Arabidopsis thaliana: one gene and its partners. The protein of the gene in region 3 purifies or fractionates together with the protein of the main gene of each other region. This does not show direct contact. Each region holds a gene or a part of one and is shown on either strand. Other genes may lie near its edges. The genes, in order: LFR, AT1G32730, CHR23 and AT3G01890.

The links.
Region 1: the proteins of CHR23 (region 3) and LFR fractionate together in Arabidopsis thaliana (co-fractionation; one large-scale study listed by BioGRID). This does not show direct contact.
Region 2: the proteins of CHR23 (region 3) and AT1G32730 fractionate together in Arabidopsis thaliana (co-fractionation; one large-scale study listed by BioGRID). This does not show direct contact.
Region 4: the proteins of CHR23 (region 3) and AT3G01890 fractionate together in Arabidopsis thaliana (co-fractionation; one large-scale study listed by BioGRID). This does not show direct contact.

Annotation. Positions count from the first base shown.
Region 1 is NC_003074.8:8,161,880-8,167,270, forward strand, and holds LFR (ARM repeat superfamily protein), read left to right. Parts: upstream 1-2,061; 5' UTR 2,062-2,135; coding exon 2,136-2,328; intron 2,329-2,425; coding exon 2,426-2,595; intron 2,596-2,678; coding exon 2,679-2,812; intron 2,813-2,909; coding exon 2,910-3,166; intron 3,167-3,365; coding exon 3,366-3,471; intron 3,472-3,564; coding exon 3,565-3,703; intron 3,704-3,794; coding exon 3,795-3,922; intron 3,923-4,010; coding exon 4,011-4,266; 3' UTR 4,267-4,471; downstream 4,472-5,391. Other genes in the region: AT3G22980 (Ribosomal protein S5/Elongation factor G/III/V family protein), read right to left, coding at 1-1,437. UniProt on the Arabidopsis thaliana protein: Involved in leaf and flower development. Plays roles in leaf development partly by associating with AS2 and repressing KNAT1/BP transcription. Required for the formation of anther cell layers and normal expression of genes that regulates anther development.
Region 2 is NC_003070.9:11,839,091-11,844,333, forward strand, and holds AT1G32730 (electron carrier/iron ion-binding protein), read left to right. Parts: upstream 1-1,819; 5' UTR 1,820-1,986; coding exon 1,987-2,108; intron 2,109-2,401; coding exon 2,402-2,463; intron 2,464-2,746; coding exon 2,747-2,834; intron 2,835-3,052; coding exon 3,053-3,155; intron 3,156-3,257; coding exon 3,258-3,866; 3' UTR 3,867-4,218; downstream 4,219-5,243.
Region 3 is NC_003076.8:6,496,908-6,504,613, forward strand, and holds CHR23 (homeotic protein regulator), read left to right. Parts: upstream 1-1,835; 5' UTR 1,836-1,998; coding exon 1,999-2,175; intron 2,176-2,354; coding exon 2,355-2,511; intron 2,512-2,619; coding exon 2,620-2,684; intron 2,685-2,777; coding exon 2,778-2,966; intron 2,967-3,108; exon of another isoform or gene 3,109-3,132; coding exon 3,133-3,282; intron 3,283-3,423; coding exon 3,424-3,804; intron 3,805-3,885; coding exon 3,886-4,145; intron 4,146-4,223; coding exon 4,224-4,439; intron 4,440-4,643; coding exon 4,644-4,851; intron 4,852-4,944; coding exon 4,945-5,098; intron 5,099-5,202; coding exon 5,203-5,808; intron 5,809-5,893; coding exon 5,894-6,525; 3' UTR 6,526-6,785; downstream 6,786-7,706. Other genes in the region: AT5G19300 (methyltransferase C9orf114 protein), read left to right, coding at 43-115, 263-381, 468-547, 653-722, 846-923, 1,015-1,080; AT5G19315 (Defensin-like (DEFL) family protein), read left to right, coding at 7,631-7,691. UniProt on the Arabidopsis thaliana protein: Probable chromatin-remodeling factor that is functionally redundant with CHR12 in root and shoot stem cell initiation and root apical meristem (RAM) and shoot apical meristem (SAM) maintenance. Can associate with the promoter region of WOX5.
Region 4 is NC_003074.8:308,218-313,100, reverse strand, and holds AT3G01890 (SWIB/MDM2 domain superfamily protein), read right to left. Parts: upstream 3,095-4,883; 5' UTR 2,770-3,094; coding exon 1,445-2,769; intron 1,381-1,444; coding exon 1,329-1,380; 3' UTR 1,028-1,328; downstream 1-1,027. Other genes in the region: CYP94B2 (cytochrome P450, family 94, subfamily B, polypeptide 2), read left to right, coding at 1-742; AT3G01880 (vacuolar sorting-associated protein (DUF946)), read right to left, coding at 3,541-4,883.

The DNA of each region.
Region 1 (5,391 bases), on a different chromosome or scaffold from region 3:
TGCTTCCTGAATGTACTTGTGAGACGATTCCCCCTTGAGGGGATCATATAGGGCGGTAATTACAAAGACTCTTTGCCCAGCCCGAAGTACCCCGCTAAAGATCCTAGCAAATGCAAGGAAGCACTCATCTGACTCGCTTTTACTGTCATCATCATTTAAACCGTTCATCCTCTCTCTGTGATTTCCATCTTGAGGAATCATTTTCATTGGAATAGCAAACATTTTCGACACAAACACAACACAAGGACTGTCACTGCTAGAATCACAAGCCTCGATTGATTTTCTAACAAGCTCTGCTTCTGCCAGGACACTTGAATCAACATCATCACCACCAATAATTTTCCTTTCTGGAACCAAGCGTGGGATTCTATATGCCTGTGCTGCAATGGGGTCTGGCAGATGTTTCACAGCCATAGACAAGACTGCATCAGACAGAGGAAGCCAACGGCTCATCACCGATTGAAGCACGTTTTTTGGATCCTTGTTCTGAAGTTCGCGTGGTGGAATAGACAAATTGAAAGATTTGATAACTTTCTCAAGAACGGCTTTATCCCCACCAGGATCTAGTGCAGCTTCATAAACCTGCCACAAAGGCTCAAGCACAAACTGCACAAACATTGGTTTCGCCTTGCTTCCAGCACTTAAATTCTTCTTCCCTACTATCATCTTAGTCTTAGGAATATAATAACGAGGACCCCATAACGATTTCTGCAACGCAGTCGCACTAGCTCCAAGCTTGGAGGCATAAAAATTAGCAAACTCCGCAATCCCAAAACCCCACCCGTCTAAAGCACACACGAATACTACATTACCTTTCTGAGGCTGAAAAGTAACTTCTTCATCATCCTCCAACAACTCAAGACTCTCAGCAGACAACTCCCCTGAAGGACTAGCAAGTATAGAATCAACATCCGACAAATACTTCTCTGACTTATACGCACTCACAATCCCGTTAACCTCATGAACAATCCTAATCAAACGAGTATACGCCTCCATAGGACTCAACCTCAACTCAAAAATCAACCTATCAATCTTATTAAGCACCAAACAAGGAGTCAACTTCTCTATCCAAGCTTGACGCAACACAGCATGCGTTTGAATATGAACTCCCTCAACAGCATCAACCAAAACCAACGCACCGTCACTTAACCGAGCAGCTGTTGAGACTTCACTACAGAAATCCATATGACCAGGAGAATCAATCAGGTTCAAAGAATAGTCTTTATATTTAAGAGAAATCGAAGAGCTCTTCATCGTGATTGCACGTCTCTGTTCTTCATCTAGATAGTCCATGAACCTAAGCTTCCCGGCAAGTCTCGGGTGAAGAACACCGCCACCGGAAGAAGCAATTAGGTGATCGGCGAGAGTCGTCTTACCGTGGTCTACATGTGCTAGTATACATATGTTCCTAACTTTCCTACCTTCAGATTCATCCATCTCTTCAATTTACAAAACACACAGCTACCTGCAGATTCAATATATACAAGGATTACATTATCAGAATCGATGCGATTCAAATTAGTAGAGAAAACTTCAACAAAACATAATCCAAATCCTAAAACCTTGTGTGAGAGCTCACGAATTTTTGAATCGAATCCACAGAGTTGTGCACGTCTCGTAAGAATCAAAGAGAGATAAAAACGAGAGAGATGCTCTTTGAAGATTCCATAATATTTTAAAAAGTTCGATTCAAAAATTGAGTGATATGTAAAAAAATCACCTTAATCAGTTGATGGAGCTCAGACGTTTGAAGAAGAATGGTGCGAAACTTGCTTCGGCGGCGAAACAACGGCGGCGCAGGGTTTGGCGATTTCCCTCTGCAAGTTTGTCTGTATAAACATATACAAGAAGACGTGAACGTTTTTGATTTTAATTAAACCGGAACCCTGTAAACCAGAGAGACGGTTTAGTGCTCTCTTTTAACAATTTTAATTATAGTCTCGGACTCTTCAACCGGAATAAACCGGTCTAAAACGTTTTTAATTTCAATTGTACCGAAACCCTCTGACTCACAAAAAGTGTTTAGTGCTCTTTAAACAATTTTAATTTTTAAATCGTCTTGGGACTTTTAAACCGGAATAAATCTTTCGGGTCAAAATTTCCGAACCCTAACTTTAGCCCCAAATTAGAGAGAGATGCAGAAACGGGAGCTTGGGAAATCCGGCGGTAATTCCGGTGGATCTTCGGGTCCACCAGCGAAGAGAGGCCGTCCCTTCGGTAGTACAAGTGCTAACTCAGCTGCTGCTGCTGCAGCGGCGGCAGCAGCGGACGCGATGTCACCGTCAGCTTTACTTGGTCCTTCTCTTCTAGTTCACAATTCCTTCGTCGGTAAGCTCGCAATGACCACTCTATAATTCCTCTCTGTTTTCTTCTTGTGAACGAGTTTTTAATCGGTAATTTTCATTGGGATCATTGGAATTTATAGAGCAGAACAATAGAAGAATAGTTCTTGCGTTGCAGAGTGGTTTGAAGAGTGAGGTGACATGGGCATTGAACACACTTACGTTGCTTTCCTTCAAGGAAAAAGAAGATATTCGAAGAGATGTCATGCCTCTTGCTAAGATAGCTGGCTTGCTTGATGCCCTTCTCTTAATTGTGAGTTTATTTAATTGTTTAGGTGTTGGGATTGTGTTTTCCTCTCTGTTCTTTGAACCAACATGATGCTAAAACTTTGGCAGATAGATGATTGGCGTGACATAGCTCTCCCAAAGGACCTGACAAGAGGAACTAGAGTTAGAACTTTAGGTACAAATGCTTCAGTTACGGGATTTGGCAATGAGTATGATGCTCTAGCCTCTATTCAACCCCCTGGGTGAGCTAATTTCGATACTGCTTTGATTACAGTTTTAAATGATTGTTGCTTATATTTAGAATTAGAACCTAAGTGTTGTTAATATTTGGCCTAGCAGATCCGGGATTGGTTCTTCTGCTGCTGAGGCATTAGGAAAAAAGAGCACTGGTAAACATCAGTCATCTCAGTGGTGGATGGAAGAGGATGGTTTGTTTAATCTAGACGATGAAGGGAGATCAGAGAAACAAATGTGTGCTATTGCTGCATCGAACGTTATCCGCAACTTCTCCTTCATGCCTGATAATGAAGTTGTAATGGCTCAGCATCGCCATTGCTTAGAAACTGTTTTCCAGTGCATACACGATCATATGACCGGTAAGGAAGAATACTAATGTTTTGATACATACAATCCCAACCTTTTTGTTTCTTTTACTAGTTATAATTCCTTACATTTGCTTCTGATAGATTCTTATTTCTTATTGGTTTGAATTGGCTTGAATGTATTCTCTCTGTTTCCTTATTTGCTTGATACTTGATTGGGAACTATGGTCTTAAGACAATCTTTTGTTAACAGAGGATGAAGAGCTGGTCACAAACTCGCTAGAGACAATTGTAAACCTAGCGCATTTGATGGATCTTCGAATTTTCAGCTCGCTTAAGCAGTCATACATCAACATAAAGTGAGAAGTTGTATCTCCCTGCATTCTTAGTTACACAATCCATAACTTGTTTCAAATACCAATGTGAATCATTCATTACTCTTGTGCATATAGTGAAAAGAAAGCTGTTCAAGCTGTGGTCGGAATCCTCAATTCTTCTGTCAAAGCTTGGAATTGTGCTGCTGCTGAGTTGCTAGGGCGTTTGATAATCAATCCGGACAATGAACCTTTCATTAGTCCTTTAATTCCGCAGGTTTGTTAACTTCTATAATCTTCATATGGTTTCTGGCTACTTACTCGTTTTAACTAGTATTTAAACCCAACAATGGACCTATCCCTTGCAGATACACAAGCGACTAATCGATCTTTTGAGCATACAAGCCGTTGATGCACAAGCTGCAGCTGTTGGAGCACTCTACAATCTCGTGGAAGTTAACATGGATTGCAGATTAAAGCTAGCAAGTGAGAGATGGTAAACAAAAACTATACTCCCTCTCTATCGAATACAATCAAACTGTTTTTAGATCGCAACAATGACACACCATTATGATCTTTTTCAGGGCGGTTGATAGGTTGCTGAAAGTGATAAAGACTCCGCATCCGGTTCCAGAAGTATGTAGGAAAGCTGCAATGATCCTTGAGAACCTTGTCTCGGAGCCTCAAAACAGAGGATTGCTACTCGCGTATGAGAATGCTTTCGCTGAGCTGCTTTTTCAAGAGGGTAAGTATTCTGATTCATTTGCTAGGATTTTGTATGAACTCACTGCTAGATCTAATAGCAGAGTTGCTTCAGCTAGAGGAATCTGGGGCATGTAAAAGTCTTCTCTAGATTAGTGGGTTTGATTAATTGATTGTGTTGTAAACTTTAATCATTTGCTATGTATTAAAAAAGCAGTGTTGTTGAACAAAAAGTAGATGGATTCTTCTCTCGCATAGCTTCGACATGTGTTTTGTTTGATCTTTACTAAAAACAAATTTGAGATATTTTGTGATTCAAATTGAAAATAAAATAACCCAAATAATCACGTTTTGACGTTAGAATAGTGTATTGGTTAATCATATTCATATACTATACAATAAACTAACAAGAATTAAGTCACACATAATACAGTGTTTTGTCTTTACATTTTTTGTTATTATTACTCTTTCTTCAAAATCAATGTGTCTTTTCTTGTAGACGAGGAGACGTTTTCTCTTGTTATACATTTTTATTTGGATTCGGTTCGTATAGTAGAACATAATTATATTTTGAACAACCATAACCATTAACCACCTAATTAACCCATAAATTGTGACCAACAACTTTCTACAACGCGAACTAGAGCATTTCTACAAACGTTAATTGCGTATTCCACATATATTTTGCTAAACTTGAATTTCGTGAAGATTTTAGTAACCTTCTTCTTTGGTATATTATGGAGTTGAAAGAATATATAACCGTTGCTTTAAACACACATACCTGTATTTCGAGACAACTCATCTCAAAACTAAACTCTAAAATCAAGTTATTGCAATCTTTCTTTCTTTATGTTCATACAAGATAGTGGTTAACTGATTCACACACTAAACATTTGGTAGAAAAATATCAGAACAATAAGAAGAATATATTTGGAAAATGGTTTGATTGGTGATATAAAATTAGTTAGTGGTTAAAGATGAATGTATAGATAGAAGTGATAAGAGATGGCTTTGAATCTTTCTTTTTGTTTCTGCTAATTTGATGGATATTCAAGCGGTATATTTTGTATCGATCAAATTCTTTATGCTATTGAGATATCTTTAACTTGGAGCGCATTATTGAAACTTTCTTGTATATAATGATTTTTTTACCTTGTTGTATAATATATGTTCATTATATAGTATGAGTAAAGTTGAAGGAGGGAGATTTTATTTAACATGTCTATTAAGAAAACAACATTTGGTGGTTGGGGAAGAAACCAA
Region 2 (5,243 bases), on a different chromosome or scaffold from region 3:
AGGCCTATGTATTAATGTTTTTTTTTGCAAGATTATGCGCTAGGTTGCATGGAAACTCGCTCCGAGGTGCGTTTCTCGTTTCCGAAACGTTTCGGAAACGGAAACTCTCCGGAAATACGAAAAACGTCACGGAAACGCGTTTCCTAAAAATCTAGGTTTAGAAACACGATGGAAACTTACGTTTCCAAAATAGAAACTCACGTTTCCGAAATAGACATACGACAAATCTTTTTTATTGACTTTAAAAATTTAATAACTAAAATTGAAAATATTAAAATTATTATTACATATAAATAATTTTGGAAGACTTTGAGTTTTAAGATCTTTCTTTTGTTAAACCAGATTTGAAAAGAGCTTTATATTATCTTTGATAAAACTAATGAAAATGTTGGTCTAAATTAACTATTTGAACTTGAACCTTTTAATTTTTATCTTTTAGAATTTTAGTTTATTTATTTAATATTGATATTTTGGACTTGTATTGTTTAAATCATTTTTTCTTTAATATAGTTTTATGTTAATGTTATATATATATATATAATGTTATATATATGTATAAATGTGTATACGTTTCCAAAACGTTTCCAATCCCTAATTTTAAGAAAAAATCGTTTCCCGTTTCCGAAACGTTTCGTATCCGCATTTCCGTTTCCGTTTTCATGCAACATAGATTATGCGAATGATTGCAATTTACAAGTAACAACTTGAGAGATGTACGTTCACTATGTCGCGAAGAATTGGTGAGGAAATCTTTCGTAATATTTTGTTATCCAATGGTATTTATCTCGATTGTAATCGTTAAATCATGAATGGATGGTTAAATATTTACCAAATAAATAAAAAGAAGAAGAATAATTAAAATTTATATATTGGTGAGCAAATATTATTATTCCGATTAAATTATACTTTTTAATTGTTGTTTTGTAAAATTGTTCAGTTCTGTTTTGTTTTGTAGTCTCTATTATCATCAGAGTTGTTTAGTTTGATCGTCGTGTGGACTCTTGACAGTCCTCATAGTCTACTAAATCTAAAACCAATGATAAATCAACTAATTAATTAAATAATCATGTCTATAAAGTATAAACTATATTTTTATGTGTTAACCCATCCAAATCTGCAAGTCCATACAAATTGACTCTAAATATATTGAAGCTGCAAAATCAGCCAAGTACAAAATTGACTCTAAGTATATTGAAGCTGCAAAATCAGCCAAGGTTACGCAATATAATCATATAGCGATCGATGCATCAGAATAATAAGTTAGAAAGCGATATCAATTGCAAAATAGTATAGAGTAGTATAAAAATATGAAAACACTCTGAAGTTGAATGCACCAAAATCTAAATGCATTGTTTTGTCTGCCAAATTGACTTCTATCTAGAAGCTTCTAGTGTGAAGCTCTGATACCACTTGTAACGTCCAAATCAAAGCTTCGAGTTACAAGTCAATTAGTAGAATGATTTATTGTTTTTGTTTCTTTTACTTATGAAAAGACTCTAAAGCAAAGCGAAGGAAGAGATGAGGAAGAAAAAGATTTGCCCAAACGGCAAACACTAAATTATTTAGATTGATGTTCTATTGTTCATATGAACAATAACGTCTATATATATGTGAATCTGATTCGATAGAATAACCTAATTACTTGGGCTTTTTTTGGGCTTATATTGATTTATCTGACAAGTCTGATCCCGGATAAAGTTCATGATTTGGTTAAGTTCGGTTCAATTTAAAGAGAAATTATATTGGGCTTTAAAACCCAGGCCCATATAAAAACGACTCACGTGGTATTATTAATAACCGGAGCCCTAGACCCGCCGTGAAATCGAGCGATTGAGAGCACTTCGCAAAATCAGAGCGACAAAAAAAAATAAAAACCAATCCTTTCGATTCCAAATTTTTTGTTACTCACTCGCACGAGTTTTATTTGGTCGTTAGTTATCTCTTTCGTTGAATAACGGTTTTAATTTAAACCGTTACTTTTTATCAATGGCGACTTCGTCACCGTCTCTGAGTAACAATGGTCTTTCCTCCGTCGTCACGCCTCCCAAAACTCTCCGTGGTCTCAATAAGCCTAAGTGTATTCAATGCGGCAATGTAGCTCGCTCCAGGTATTGCTTCTACGCATTGTTTCATCGAAGGACTTAGGTTTTTTACATCTGGGGTTTCGATTTATGGATTGTTCTTGGGTTTTTGATCTGAAAGGATTCGAATTTGTCTTGTATAGTACTTTTTCGTTTTGATTTAGGGTTCATAGGTTTGTGGGTTTGGGTTTTTATTCATGATTTGGTGATTAATCTGTTGGAGATTGTTTAAAGTTTTGAGCTTTAGTATCGAAAGATCAGTTTTTTGAGATTATTGGTGAAGTAATTGTAATTGTATTGCTTGGATTTGATAAATGCAGGTGCCCTTTTCAATCTTGTAAGGGTTGTTGTTCAAGAGCAGAGAATCCCTGCCCGATTCACGGTATGTTTGCCCTGTCAAATCTCAACTTCATAATTAGCTAAAGTGATCAGTTTTAGAGTTTAGTGTTGATAACTTTGATTGGAGAGTTCTATTCTTTCACTTGGTAAGTTTAGAGTTTAGTATTCTTGACTTCTATAGGGTTCGTTTGGTTGTCTCGGGACAAAAAAACCTATAAAGAACCATAAGACTGATTCTTGGAATGTGCTTGTGATTAGCTGAGAGATATAGAGATGTTATCATGGACTGTTTTGTGTTTCTTCTTATGTGTTTTATTTCGCTGCAGTTCTTAAAGTAGCTTCAACGTCTGGTGAGAAGACGCAGGCGCCAAGTACTCCATCTTCAGAGCAGAAAGCAACCGAGGGCACTCCCGGGTACATATATATAAACTAATTTTCTGTTTTGTTTGTGCTTCCATGGGCAAGTGAATCTTAGATGATAAACCGGTGTTTGCTTACTAATACTTTGATAGGAGATTCTTCAGCTTTCTTGTTTTATTGCACGTAGTTGATAGTGAGATGATATATTGGTCTTGTGGAACTAAAATATGGCGCTTTATGTTGACGTTTTCTTCTTTTGGAAATTGTTTCAGGAGTACCACTAGAGTTTCGTCAATCCGGCAACTTTCTAGCAACTTTGCTCAGTTTAATAACCTGAATGCTTCTTCCCGCCAGAGAAAACCTTTGACGATAAAGGTATACTAATTAAGACGTCTTTCATTGACTTTAGTACTCTATGAAAAATCTCCATTTAGTTGTTTTCCTCTTATCAGTTTTTGTTCTGTCTATATTCTATAGGATGCTCAAGCTTTAAACGAGTGGCGGTTTACAAAGCTAAAAGAGTACAGAGACAGAAACATTGAAGTAGAAAATGAAGCTTTTGATCGGTACATGAGTAATGTGAATTTACTCGAAGAAGCATTTTCATTTACATCTGTTCCTGATGAAGAGAGTCATGGAACAGCAGCTCCTGAGCAAAACAAAGAGGAAAATATTGTTTCAGAGCTTAAACTGAGGCTGAGATCGAACTCTGCAAGAACAGAGAGCTTTAAGAAGCGGATCGCGGAGACAGTCAAAGCCGGTTTGGTGAAGCTTAAGAGACTGGATTTAGGCAGTTCTTCAGATGATCAAGATGATATCAAAAGGCGGGTCAAAAGAAAGAAATGGGAAGAGAAAGGTTCAGCTTTGAATGAAATAATCGATAAACTGAACAAAGCAAGAACCGAAGAGGATCTCAAATCTTGCTTAGAGATGAAATCAAAGCTCTGTGGTCAAGTTTCTCCCACTGCTGCTTCCGAGAAGAACAAGATCTTTCCGGGTGTAGTCCGAAAAGTTGAGATGAGTGAAGAAGCACTTCAAAAAATCGCTGAGAATCTCCAATCTTTTGACAAAGTTGGAATGTTGTGAAGTCGAGAACATCCTGTGGATGAACTGAAAAGTTTGAGTGGCAAGAAAATTTCTAGATCCTTCGTGACCACGGTATTGTACAATGATCAAACATCCCTCAAAACTGATCCTGAAGACTCCAAAGACTCAAGAGATTCTTGTAAAGTAGTGTTGAGCATCATTTAGATATTAGAACTCAGCCATGGATAAAGCTGTTGATTCTATCTCATTGGATTTTTTTCACTGTGTGTTGTTGCTTTGTTAGATTTGAAATTGCTCATTGGATTACCTTTGACTTAATAAATAGTTGGTTTGGTTTGGTATTGGATAACCGCTCAGTCTAATTAGACCGGTTTGTTTTTTTGGAAAAAAATGAATCCATCCATCCATAGGCCACTTTCAACACGTATATTTGAAAACGACTAAAACCAAACTCTTAGATTCTAGTTTTGTTTTGCTGCCCCAATTCCACTATTGATCAAAACATATCCAAAAGTTTTTGTGGAACTAAAAAGTAAAAATAACGTTTAGTTTGTTTCCAATTTCAACCATATATATCTTATTCATATATGCATGTTGTGGTTGTCTCGTGTGTGTAGTATTCATTTACATTATGCAAACCAACTGGAAACATGTTGAATGGGTTATGGGTTGGTGGTTGGGACTTGAGGATCAAACAACTCAAATGAGCTCATTATAAGTTAAGCTCTCAATAATCATTAATTTATTTTTGTTACCACCTAATATTTCTACGAAGGGTTGGTGTAACAATTTTTAATTGTAAGATAATTGTGTAATCATTTTCAATATTAATTTTTATTATGTATTTATTTTAAAAAGTTATATAATACGTAACACATTTAGTACTTGGTTTTGGTAGCTTCATCAATGTACCATCCGAAGTTCCAAAAAATAAAAAAAAATGTCGATTTCACCGTTGGTGAAAAAGAAACTAAATTGATATGTATTATTCATTTTTTAGAAGAGATTATGGGTTTAAATCTGAAACTTCTTAGTTAAATTTTTAATTAATTTATTTATTTTGCATGCTTTATTATATATTTGAAATTAGAATCTACATGATTAATGATTTTTTTCTCAGATAGAATAAAAAATATATTTACTGATAAATTATTCTTTTACATCTTTCCGGATTCGCTACTAATGTGTTTTTGTTAACTTTAACCAGATTGCTTATGGATTATGATATATAGTATCCATTACTTAAAAAGTAAAAGAGATGAAAAACCAAGAATAATTAATGTCACCAAACTATCAACAACAACAAAAAGAGAGTGTAATATTCAAGATAAACGAATCCTATTATATAAAAAAAGGTGGGAAGAAGTTGCTGTCTAATGATGTAATTATGTTAACTAGTGTGCTAAGGAAAGAAAT
Region 3 (7,706 bases):
TTTTTGCATGAGATTGACCTTTATTCGATGCTCGTGATGCAGAGTGTTGTTGTTGATCAAGTGCTGGGTCCAGGAATTAGAGTCACGGTAGCCATGGGAACTGACCACGATTTAGGTACTGATAATCTCTATTTTCTTTCAAGTTACCATATGCATATCTGTTTTCTTTCTTTAAATTTCTATTTAGATCATTTATATACGTTTCTCTAAGCTACCTACATCTACTTGTTGAGTTAATATATTTTGAATTTGGTTCATGTAGATTTGGTACGCCAGATTGTTCCACCCTCTAAGCCAAGGGAAGAAGCAGGAATGTATTGGGGATACAAAGTACGATATGCATCACAATTAAGTTCAGTATTCAAGGAATGCCCTTTCGAGGTAATAATAATGATACTCGTCTCCACATCCTTCTACAACTTAGATCATATTTCCTGCATAACCTTATTTCCTAATACCAAAAGCAGGGTGGTTACGATTATTTGATTGGTACCTCGGAGCACGGCCTGGTAATTAGTTCATCTGAGCTGAAAATACCAACATTTAGGTGATTCTCATTTCCCCTTAACATGGTATAAGTTTGTGTCTAAACACATTATTAGCCGTTTAAATTTGGGGGACTGACTCCAATGGTTATGGCTTGAAATCATAGGCACCTATTGATTGCATTTGGTGGACTTGCTGGGCTTGAAGAAAGTATTGAAGATGATAATCAGTATAAGGTAACCTCATATTCAGCTCTTTGTCTCTCACAGTGACTAAAAAGTTCTTAAAGATCTAAAGCTGTTTTGGTCTATACTACATGTGTTTGATATGGACACTAAGCAAAAGACTTTGTTTTACAGGGGAAAAACGTTCGAGATGTGTTTAATGTATACTTGAATACTTGTCCACATCAAGGTAGCCGAACCATTCGAGCAGAGGTATTCACAAACTTTTCTTATTAGTTGTGTTTTTTCCTTTTCTTATGTTCCGGGATGATTGAGCTGAGGACATTGTGTAATAAATATGCAGGAAGCGATGTTTATATCACTTCAGTACTTCCAGGAACCCATCAGCAGGGCAGTGAGAAGACTTTAAGCTTCGATAAAAAGAGTCAAAGAAGCTATTTTGTTCTCATAGATCTGAGGTTTGTCTGAAAAAGAGTGATGTAATGTAACTGTTTTAGAATTTGGACCAAGTGTTTATTCTTGTACTATCCCAATTTTGGGTTCTTACAATTTTCCTCCATTAGTGGCAGTGTGGCACACGAAGTGTACTCAATTTTTACACTGAGTAACAAATTTAAGAGGGGTGTATTTAATCTAGTATTTTAAGTGATTTGTGTAAAGTTCACAAATTATGTGTTATTCAATCATGGATTTTTAAAATTCTAATGAAATCTAGTGGTATTGAGCTAATGATTTAAAAATCTACCTTTAAATCTACTGTTATTGAAAACAATTTGTGAATTTCATTCTTATTAATTTTGAGAGGATTTTAGAAAATTTCTTTAGATAAAAATACAGAAATTCAAATCTCATAGTTTTAGATAGAACTTTAAAAAAGTTTTACAATAAATCACATTAACTTTTCTAAAATCATTAAAATTATATAAAAAATCTTGTTAGATCCGATACACCCTCTAATAATAATATCATTGCCAAGTATTGAAACTTACGTTTGTTATATAATGGGTATGTAGTTTACTAACAATTACGTGAAGTGGGCCGTTAATTTACAATATATTTAAAATTAAGCATAAACGCCCGGCCCAAAATAGAGAAGGGTAATATAGTAAAAGCGGAAAGAAAGGGGTTAAGACCCTCCTTATCCCTAATAGACCGGTGCGCGTGAGCGACTAAATAATCGTTCGTGATATCGATTTCTCTCCCGTCTCGTTTATCTTTCGGGGCTAAAAACTCGAAAGCAACAGCGATAGAGAGATTTGGAGAAAACAAAAATAATAAAAACGGAACGGCAACAGAAAATTAAATAATCTAATTAGAAACTCCCGCCATGGTGAAGCAGCTACAAGAGCAGGAGGAGAACGATCCCGTCGAGAAGACAAAGTCTCTGATCTCTGCTCTTAACTACCTTTCTCGCGACCTTCTCTTGCCTTCTCACCTTTACGCTTCCGTTTCTTCTATTTACCATGCCTCCGTCTCCGATCTCTCTCCTTCTCCGCCTCTTCGTGTAAGCTGTTTCTTCGATTTGCATGTTAGGATTTGTGGTTGTGAATCGAATTTTCTGGCTCTGTGCTTCTTCAACTCCTTCTCTAACCAATTCCTTGGAGTTTCCTTCTCGAATTCGATGAATCCGAATTCATTGATTTTTGTGATTTTTGGATGAAGTTATATGCTTGGATTTTGCAGGGAAATAGTTATACTCCCAATAGAGGTGATTTGATGAGCGAGTTCGAAGATGCACTTTTGCAACAGCGACTAAACTATGAATCAGGCTCTCGACTAGCCGAGTTAAAGGAAACTCGGTATAAGAATCGTATCCACAACCGATTATCTCAACTTGAAGGTGATTGCTGTTTGACTATGCTGCTTGTAATTTTTTGAAAAAGCCTATGGAGCCAATTATCCTGTGAGATGAATGCTTACTCTTGTGTTTTTTTTTAAAAAAAATCAGGATTACCTTCCAATAGAGGTGAAGATTTGCAGGAAAAATGCTTACTTGAGCTTTATGGTCTTAAGGTATGTGTGACACTAGCTGATCTTTTTTATTGTCAGACATTGTTTAAAATATGATTTCCTTGACACTGACACTGTCTCGTTTGTTTATGGCAGTTACAAGAACTACAATGCAGGGTTCGGGGTGAGGTGAGTGCGGAATACTGGCTGCGTTTGAATTGTGCAGATCCGGAGAGACAACTATATGATTGGGGCATGATGCGGTTGCCTCGCCGAATGTATGGGGTTGGAGATTCTTTTGTTATGGAAGCTGATGATCAGTTCAGGAACAAGCGTGATGCCGAGGTCATTTGCTTTCTAATCCAACGCAAAATTGCTTGCTCCCAGATTTTATATTTTTACCTATAGTGATGAAGTCTTTCTTCGAATGGAAACTGATGGCGTTTTGAGATGATAGGAACATCTCATATATGCTGATACTATTTGATGATTTTTTAAACTCTTTGTTCAGAGGTTATTACGGTTAGAAGAAGAGGAGAAGAATCTGATTGAAACGACACAGAGGAAATTCTTTGCAGAAGTACTCAATGCTGTTCGTGAATTCCAGTTGCAAATTCAGGCGTCTCATAGACGGTGTAAGCAAAGAAATGATGGTGTCCAGGTATGATATCTCTGCCCTTATGTTTTTCATTGCTCATTTTTCTTGTCATTGAACCCATGATATAATTGAGTTATGTATATCCTTAAACGTCATAAATATACAAAGTCTTACAAACAGAAATTATTGCCATCTATCTAACAGGCCTGGCATGGAAAGCAAAGGCAACGTGCCACCCGAGCTGAAAAACTAAGGATCATGGCCCTTAAATCTGATGATCAAGAGGAATACATGAAACTAGCAAAGGAAAGTAAGAACGAAAAACTAACCCTTTTTCTAGAGGAGACAAACAAAATCTTTGTTAGTTTGGGGGCTGCAGTCCAGCGTCAGAAAGATGCCAAACTTTCAGAAAACACCAAATTACTGAAAGGCTCAGAATCTGACTTATCTGATGTTGATGCTCCTGAGGATGTGCTTCCTGCCCAAGATATTGAGATCATTGACTCTGACAATAATGATGATTCTAATGACTTACTAGAAGGCGAGAGGCAGTTTAACTTGGCTATCCATTCCATACAAGAGAAGGTAACTATGATTGTTTTACAAGTATTTAATATGAGTACTGTTAAGTTTGTTTAAGTCAGCTATCAATGCTTTTTTTAACAGGTGACAAAGCAGCCATCCCTTCTACAAGGTGGGGAACTAAGATCCTATCAATTAGAAGGACTTCAATGGATGGTCTCTCTATACAACAATGACTATAATGGCATTTTAGCTGATGAAATGGGTTTAGGAAAGACTATCCAAACGATTGCACTGATTGCGTATCTTCTTGAGAGTAAAGATCTTCATGGGCCTCATCTAATATTGGCTCCAAAAGCTGTGCTACCAAATTGGGAAAATGAGTTTGCATTATGGGCACCCAGGTATGTTCCAATTTATTCTCCATTAATTACATTGATATGGAGTGTATGAACGTTGCTTCATTTTTGTCCATTTGACAGCATTTCCGCTTTTCTTTACGATGGATCAAAGGAGAAAAGAACTGAAATAAGAGCAAGAATAGCAGGAGGAAAATTTAATGTGTTGATAACCCACTACGATCTTATCATGAGAGATAAAGCATTTTTGAAGAAAATTGACTGGAACTACATGATTGTTGATGAAGGACATCGTCTGAAGAACCATGAATGTGCTCTCGCAAAGACTCTAGGAACTGGGTATGTTTCTGTATGTTACTCTGGTCTTTGAGTAGACTGTATCTAGTTTCTTAAAGATGTTTAGACATGCCTTTTTACGCATTAGCTTGATGAAGTCTGAAGTGAATGGTGTTAATTAGTTGTTACTCTGATTTATCTCTTAAAGATACTGTCACAAAGGAAATTTAAAGACATTTTGCTTACACTAATTTGTCCTGGATGCAGCTACCGGATTAAGCGCAGACTTCTATTAACTGGAACTCCCATACAGAACAGTCTGCAAGAACTATGGTCGCTGCTTAATTTTCTTCTTCCTCACATCTTTAACTCAATTCATAATTTCGAAGAATGGTTTAATACTCCATTCGCAGAATGTGGTAGTGCCAGTCTTACAGATGAAGAGGAGCTGTTGATTATTAACCGTCTGCATCATGTGGGTTTATTATGCACCTTTTTTTGGTTTAGACCCTTTTTCTTTTATAGAAAATGCGTTATGCATGATACTTGATGTTAATGTCACTTTCAGGTCATAAGGCCGTTTCTACTGAGAAGGAAAAAAAGTGAGGTTGAGAAATTCCTTCCTGGAAAGACACAAGTCATACTGAAGTGTGATATGTCGGCTTGGCAAAAATTGTATTACAAACAAGTTACAGACGTAGGCAGGGTCGGTCTTCATTCTGGTTTGTAGCTAAACTTGAACTTCCATTCTCTCCAAAATGCTTTCATCTTTCGGTAAAGAACATAAGTCAGGAAGTTAAATTGCTAATGGAGTCCTTATGTGCAGGCAATGGGAAATCAAAGAGTCTGCAGAATCTGACAATGCAATTAAGAAAGTGTTGTAACCATCCGTACCTATTCGTTGGAGCAGATTATAACATGTGTAAGAAGCCTGAGATTGTGAGAGCTTCAGGAAAATTCGAGTTACTTGATCGCCTCCTTCCAAAACTGAAGAAAGCTGGACATAGAATTCTGCTCTTTTCTCAAATGACTCGTCTCATTGACCTTCTCGAAATTTACTTGTCACTCAATGACTACATGTACCTCAGACTTGACGGTAGCACAAAGACAGACCAAAGAGGGATTTTACTGAAGCAATTCAACGAACCGGACTCTCCCTACTTTATGTTTCTTCTGAGCACACGTGCTGGTGGTCTTGGTTTGAACTTACAAACTGCAGACACTATAATTATATTTGACAGTGATTGGAATCCACAAATGGACCAGCAAGCAGAGGATCGTGCTCATCGGATAGGGCAGAAAAAGGAAGTGAGAGTTTTTGTTTTGGTTAGCATTGGATCCATTGAAGAAGTAATATTGGAGCGTGCAAAGCAAAAGATGGGCATCGATGCGAAAGTCATACAAGCAGGGCTCTTCAACACAACTTCTACTGGTAAAAAGTCTTCATATATATATATTCTTATCAACTAAAAACATGATTTGGAGACTACATGCTAATCTCTTTGAATCATCAACAGCTCAAGACAGGAGAGAGATGCTGGAAGAGATCATGAGCAAAGGAACAAGCTCACTGGGAGAAGATGTGCCAAGTGAGAGAGAGATTAACCGGCTCGCAGCTCGAACTGAGGAAGAGTTTTGGATGTTTGAACAAATGGACGAGGAAAGACGTAAAAAGGAGAACTACAAGACACGTCTCATGGAAGAGAAGGAAGTTCCCGAGTGGGCTTACACTTCAGAGACTCAAGAAGACAAGACTAACGCGAAAAACCATTTTGGTAGCCTCACGGGTAAACGGAAACGAAAAGAAGCAGTGTATAGCGACTCTTTAAGCGATTTGCAGTGGATGAAAGCGATGGAGAGTGAAGACGAAGATGCTTCCAAAGTCTCTCAGAAACGAAAGAGAACGGACACAAAGACAAGAATGAGTAATGGGTCAAAGGCAGAGGCTGTGTTGAGTGAAAGCGATGAGGAAAAAGAAGAAGAAGAAGAAGAAAGGAAGGAGGAGAGTGGGAAAGAGAGTGAAGAAGAAAATGAGAAGCCATTACATAGTTGGAAAACTAATAAGAAGAAACGGTCAAGATACCCTGTTATGACTTCTTCACCTAATTCTAGAGGTAAAGGTAGCTCAAAAGGAAGTAAACGAAACTGAGAATAAGGTTTCTACAAGTATTAGGCATTTGAGTTGGTCTACAAGTATTAAGCATCGAGCCATTTTCTCATAAATTTGTCTGTTTTTTTTATAATTCAAACCTTGTGAAAAATATATCTTTTTAGAATTCAGAGCTTAAAAAGATGAGAGGGGGAAATTGGAAAAAAAATATAGATATCGACCGTTGAATTTAATAGGGTGGTTATTAGTTCCTATTTTACAAGGAATTTTGATGATTTTAATAAAATTATAGAAAGTAAACAAATGAAATATTTTAAACTATTGCTTGCTAGAGGTTTTTTTAAAATCTTTTAGATTGGTTTTTCATAATCTTGTAGTTTTCCAACCAATCTCTCTATTTTGATGATATTTTTCATGACTTTATTTTGTAAAGAAAAATGTAAAAAAAAAACTATAAACTAATAACATAATAATTTAATTCATTAACAATCATAGATTCTTTTGTTTTAATTGAATAACACAAAACTTTTATTGACTATATAAAGTAGGAATCCAACAATTCCAGATTTATGAAGATTTTATACTACTATTTACAAATTTTAAACTAATAACACCAAACTTTAACATATTTTTAAAAAATCTTGATTAAATAACAACAGATTCTACATAACATTTTAAGTCACTAAAATTCTATTTAAATCACAAATACATAACACCCCCTAAGTTTTGTTTTTGGTAATTTGGCCTGATTTCTCAAGAATCAAGTCATTTGTTTTTCTTTCAAGTTACAAATGGACATCAAATCTTTTCTACCATCATCACAGCAACCTTTGCAAGTTTAGTTTTACAATACTTGGATCAAATACCCTAATATACTAGTATTGGTGATTTTGCAAATAGAATGACTGTTTAGATTGCCCTCAACATATATAACAAGAATTGTTTTGATCAACATGAACATGAATCTGGAAAAAGATAACTGATCTATAATTACCGGTGAAACAAAAGGAAATTTGATCCATTAAATCGGGAAATAGCATTAGGTATCTAAATTTATAATACGTTGGCAAAATAGGATAAATAGATGAAAGAGTACTCCACCAAAAAGAATTATGCTCATAGGGAGGAGAAGAGGATCAAGAAGATGACCACCACCATGAAAATAATGTCTTTTGCTATGCTACTTGTTCTTTTGTTCTCTATTGGTTAGTCTCTCACCA
Region 4 (4,883 bases), on a different chromosome or scaffold from region 3:
CGTCGATGAGATCATTCGGGATAAGAAGAGGAAGCCTGCCAACCAAGACTTTCTCTCGCGGTTGATCGTCGCCGGAGAAAGCGACGAGACGGTGAGAGATATGGTAATAAGTATCATAATGGCGGGGAGGGACACCACGTCGGCGGTAGCCACACGGCTGTTTTGGTTGATCACCGGTCACGAGGAAACCGAGCACGATCTGGTTAGTGAAATCCGATCGGTCAAGGAGGAGATAACGGGGGGTTTTGATTACGAATCATTGAAGAAACTGAGTTTGTTGAAAGCGTGTTTGTGTGAAGTGATGCGATTGTATCCTCCGGTGCCGTGGGACTCCAAACACGCCTTAACCGATGACCGGTTACCAGACGGTACGTTGGTGCGTGCCGGAGACCGGGTAACGTATTTTCCATATGGTATGGGGAGAATGGAAGAGCTATGGGGGGAAGATTGGGATGAGTTTAAACCAAACCGGTGGGCTGAGTCTTATGATAAAACCTGCTGCAGAGTTTTGAAAAAGGTGAATCCGTTCAAGTTTCCGGTTTTCCAAGCCGGCCCAAGGGTTTGTCTTGGGGAAGAGATGGCGTACGTGCAGATGAAGTATATTGTGGCTTCCATACTTGACCGGTTTGAGATTGAACCGATCCCTACGGATAAACCGGATTTTGTGCCAATGCTCACGGCTCACATGGCTGGTGGGATGCAAGTCCGCGTTCATCGGAGAGATCCTTCTCTTTCCCCTTGAATATACAAACAAAGTCAATTATCATGGCTTTTTATTTTATGTAAAACGTCTCTATGATCATTCATACCCAAAATTATTTTCTCCTTTGGGTAAACAACTCAACTTTTTTTTTTTTTTTTTCAATCCAAGTCATAAAGTCTCTACTAAATTTTTGAGTTTTGAAGAAAATTCAACCAATATTAGCTCAGTTATTATATTTTTGTTTGAAAATGACCCATTTTGCATTTGTTATCATCTTGGGATGATGACTATATTAAAAGTTCAACGTGAGAGCACAATGCCTTGGTCTTTTTCTATCCATAATAATACGTACGTTATTATTATTCTACAAGACTAGATCGAGCCAATTGGAAGTCAGTACGTGGAATCTACAAAAGAAAGTGAAAAAGTCAAGTATTTATCTTTCTTATATTTTGTCGCATATGATGCACGAGCTACAAACCAAAGTAAAAACTCTTGAAACTTGAGTAACAATGTTTCACTTAGAAAAAAAACCTATAAGGAACGACACTGATCAAGTGTCCTGGACCTAAGTGACTTCTAGGTAAAAGTAGTGAACTCATGAACTTCTTGGCCCATCTGCATCTTACCCGCCTGCTGGCTTCCGGTTCAAGTAACGTATTGCAGCATCCTCCACCCTGCAAGAGAATTCTCAGTGATTGTAAGACAAGTGATGAAAAGCAGAACAGTAGAGATTATTACCATGGCTGATTGAAGAACTCTGATCGGCCTTCTTTCTCAGCGTTTCGACTTGCTTCTCCTGCAACAAGCTTCAGATCTTTGGTCTGAGATTCCATCAAGGCATTGGTGAATTCCACCGGTGACTGGCTAAACCCTAAGAAAAACGCCCGTCTCCTTCTGTGCTCGTGGATTTTCCTTATGGCTCCGCATATGGCTTCATCACATGCCTCAATCTCTTTGTTCTTCTCTGGATTAGCGAGCAGATTGGAAAGCTCCGTTTGGACCGGTGCTGGTATGTCCACAAGCACATCGTAACATGCTGAGATGGCTGGATTGTTCCCCGAAAGCTTGATCTTGTGTACAAGCTGAATGGGAGGCGGAGGTGATAGGTGCTGAGATATCTTATGAGAGAGCATAGTGAATTTCATCTTCTCTTCCCCAAAAACACTGTGGAGAGCAGCATCACAGTTGAAGAAAGAAGGGTCGTTTGGGTTTTGCAGTTTCCTGACTTTCACGTAATGCCAGATTGCCGCAATGATTCTTGGGCGAGTGTCAACCTCAATGCCCAAAACTTGCATCAAAGCAGGAGAAGTCTTGAACTTCTCAGGGACGTAATTCATCTCCAACAGTATAGTAGCTGCAAACTCCTGACACCCTATCCTCTTTATCTCAAACCCTTCCAGAGGAGCAGGCGATCGATCCCTTTTCCATTCGATCAGATGGTTCTCAGGATACAGGCTCTGGTCCAGGGATATCTTTAACGTTTTGAAGAAAGACGAGAACTTGGGATAAAGTGGGTTTGAATTCTGAACTAATCCACCAGTGTGGTCAGGATCCAGGACCCTGCCGAAAATCCTAAGAGTCCATGTGGGAGGGTCAGGACCAGGGATCTGGTTGGAAAAGGTGTTGAAAACGTAGATCCTAAGGGTCTTCTGAATGGAAGGAGGGTTCTTAAGGGAGTCTTGGATGTCAACTTTCTTTCTGAAGAGAGCGGCATCAACCCGAGACTCAAACTCAAGAAGCTGTGTGTAGAGAGCAGACTCGGGCAAGACGGCAGCAACGCGCTCCTGCAAGGAGGACTTGTCTGGAAGCTTATGTTTCTTTTTCCTGGAAGCTGGAGTCAACTCCATACTAGGAGGAACAGCAGGAGGTCCTCCAATGGGAGGTTTATGTGGGAACCTTCTTCCAGGAGCACTAATCCCTTGGTCTTGAGAGAGCTGAAACTGAGGTTGAAAGTTAGGAGGGGCCATGTGGGAGGGAGCAAACGATGCAGAGGCCATTCCAAATGGCCAAGGCAGAGAGCTTTGAGGCCCTTTTAGTGCGTTCAACTCGTTATTCCCAGACATTGCTGATCACAAAAAATTGAATACAATCCCAAATTGGTGTCGACAGTAGTTACTCAGTAATTTTGGCTAGAAGAACCTCATCAAAATCACAACACACACACTCTATCGAATTTTGCCCTTTCTAAGCCGAACGTAACCCTAATTTAGTGCTGCGCGAGGATAGAGCCCTAATCAATTTCCCCCCAAATCTAAATAGTAAGATATAGGACACAACTTCTTCTTCTTCAATACAGCAGAAAGCGTATAATCTCAACTCCAGGAGAAAGAAAACAAATTCAATTCCCTCTGGAAGAAGAAGATGAAGATGATTCTTCTTCGAAAAAAAAAAAAAAAAAAAGACACGGCGGACCTATCAATGCCCACCTGAATTCTTCAACCGGGTCAAAACCCAACCATTAGTTAAAGGCCCAACGGCCATGGTTCGTGGGTCCATATTTAGATGGATCAATATTGCTTCTCGGCAATAAATCTAATTCCATGACTATAGGTAAAAAATCAAATTAAATCTAATCCAAATTATTTTTAAAAAAACTCTTAATAATCTACACCAATTTATTTCCAGATAAATACTATTTTTTAACTCTAAAACTAAGATCATGACAACCTTTTTTTTTCCCAAATAACTCTAAAATTTTTAATTAGCACATCTACATCTTAATTCTTAACAGATTCTATAGTATTATTGTTACTAATTAGAAATTACAATGATTATTTTCGACAAATGTAAACCTTATTGATATATAACATAATGCAATAATTCACAATAAAACACTAAGAATATTGTTCATCACCGGTCCAAGTCACCTTAACTTTGGGACCAGTTGGACCATCTTGACCCCGCATTTCTAAAGGAATTTTGTTGATGAGTTTTCGCAAACCTTTCCGTAAAAAGATGGGCAAAATCTTTGCGACAGAGTTGAGAAATATGTCAATCCTGTAATGGACTCGAGGTCCCCATTTCCTAAAATAATTCAGCCACGGTGGCTCAACCACGCCAGGTCCCGCAATCACTTCATATCCAATACCTGCGTCAAAGCATTTGTCGCTTCTTGCCATGTCGTTCCTTATTCCACTTTTGCCGCCACCTTGCAACACGACTCCAGGTTTGGAGAACATTGCATGCCCATGAAGAGACGAATATACTACTGGTTTGTTTCCACCTTGCATGAACTCTAGATCGCATGCATCCACTAAAGTTCCTCCACTGTGTTCAGAAAAGTAAACACGCCATAACTCACCATTGAAGTTGCTGATGCGTAATGTAACGTGTTCCCAGTCTCCAACATGCTCGCCAATATTTCCTAGCGACAGGCTCTTGATAAACAAAAATTTTAAATGTGCATTTCCGTTATAGGGAAAGAATAGCCATACTACAATATCTGTGAAAGTAGCTCCAAACATTGGTTTGATGTGTAGATACACCTTAGTGCTCTCTAAATCTCCCCTCTTAACCTTTTCTCTAGCCTTTTTATCGACTAGATAATCTAACCAAAACAAGTCATCATTGCAACCTCCTTGTGGAAGGTTTGAACCATTTGGATGTATCGGGACCGGGATGGATTCGTTTCCTTTCTTGTGTAGCAAGGCACCGTTAGCGAAAACCCAATTGACAGAGGAAGGAAGGAAATCTTCTTTTGGGTGTAAATATATCCAAGGAGAATACGTTTTAAACAAAACTCTAGTTTGATTTTCGCTTGGCATGCTTGACAAGTCAAATTTTGTATTTTTTAAGCAGAATAAAGGAGGGGGATGAGGAAGAAAGTTTAGTTGTTTGCAGCTGAATGTCCCTGTGAACACACCTGTCGCCTCTACTCCTCTCGTGGCCGGTCTCAAACTAGAAATAGTCATATCTTTTATCCTCCATACCCATGTATCGGCTTCACTCTGTTCTGTGAGATCAGATCGAACACAGCTTATAGAATTTTGTCCCAAAGAGGGCTTCATAGGAGAAGTAGTGACATATAGACCAACCGCATGATATCCATTAGGACATAGGGGCTGCCAAAAATATGCAGGCCCCTCTTGTTTGATAAGCAATGTTGTAGTGTTTCCAACTTCAGTGTAGTCGACTGGTGGTCTTAAATTACTTCCCGATACGTCTTTTGCAACAAGAA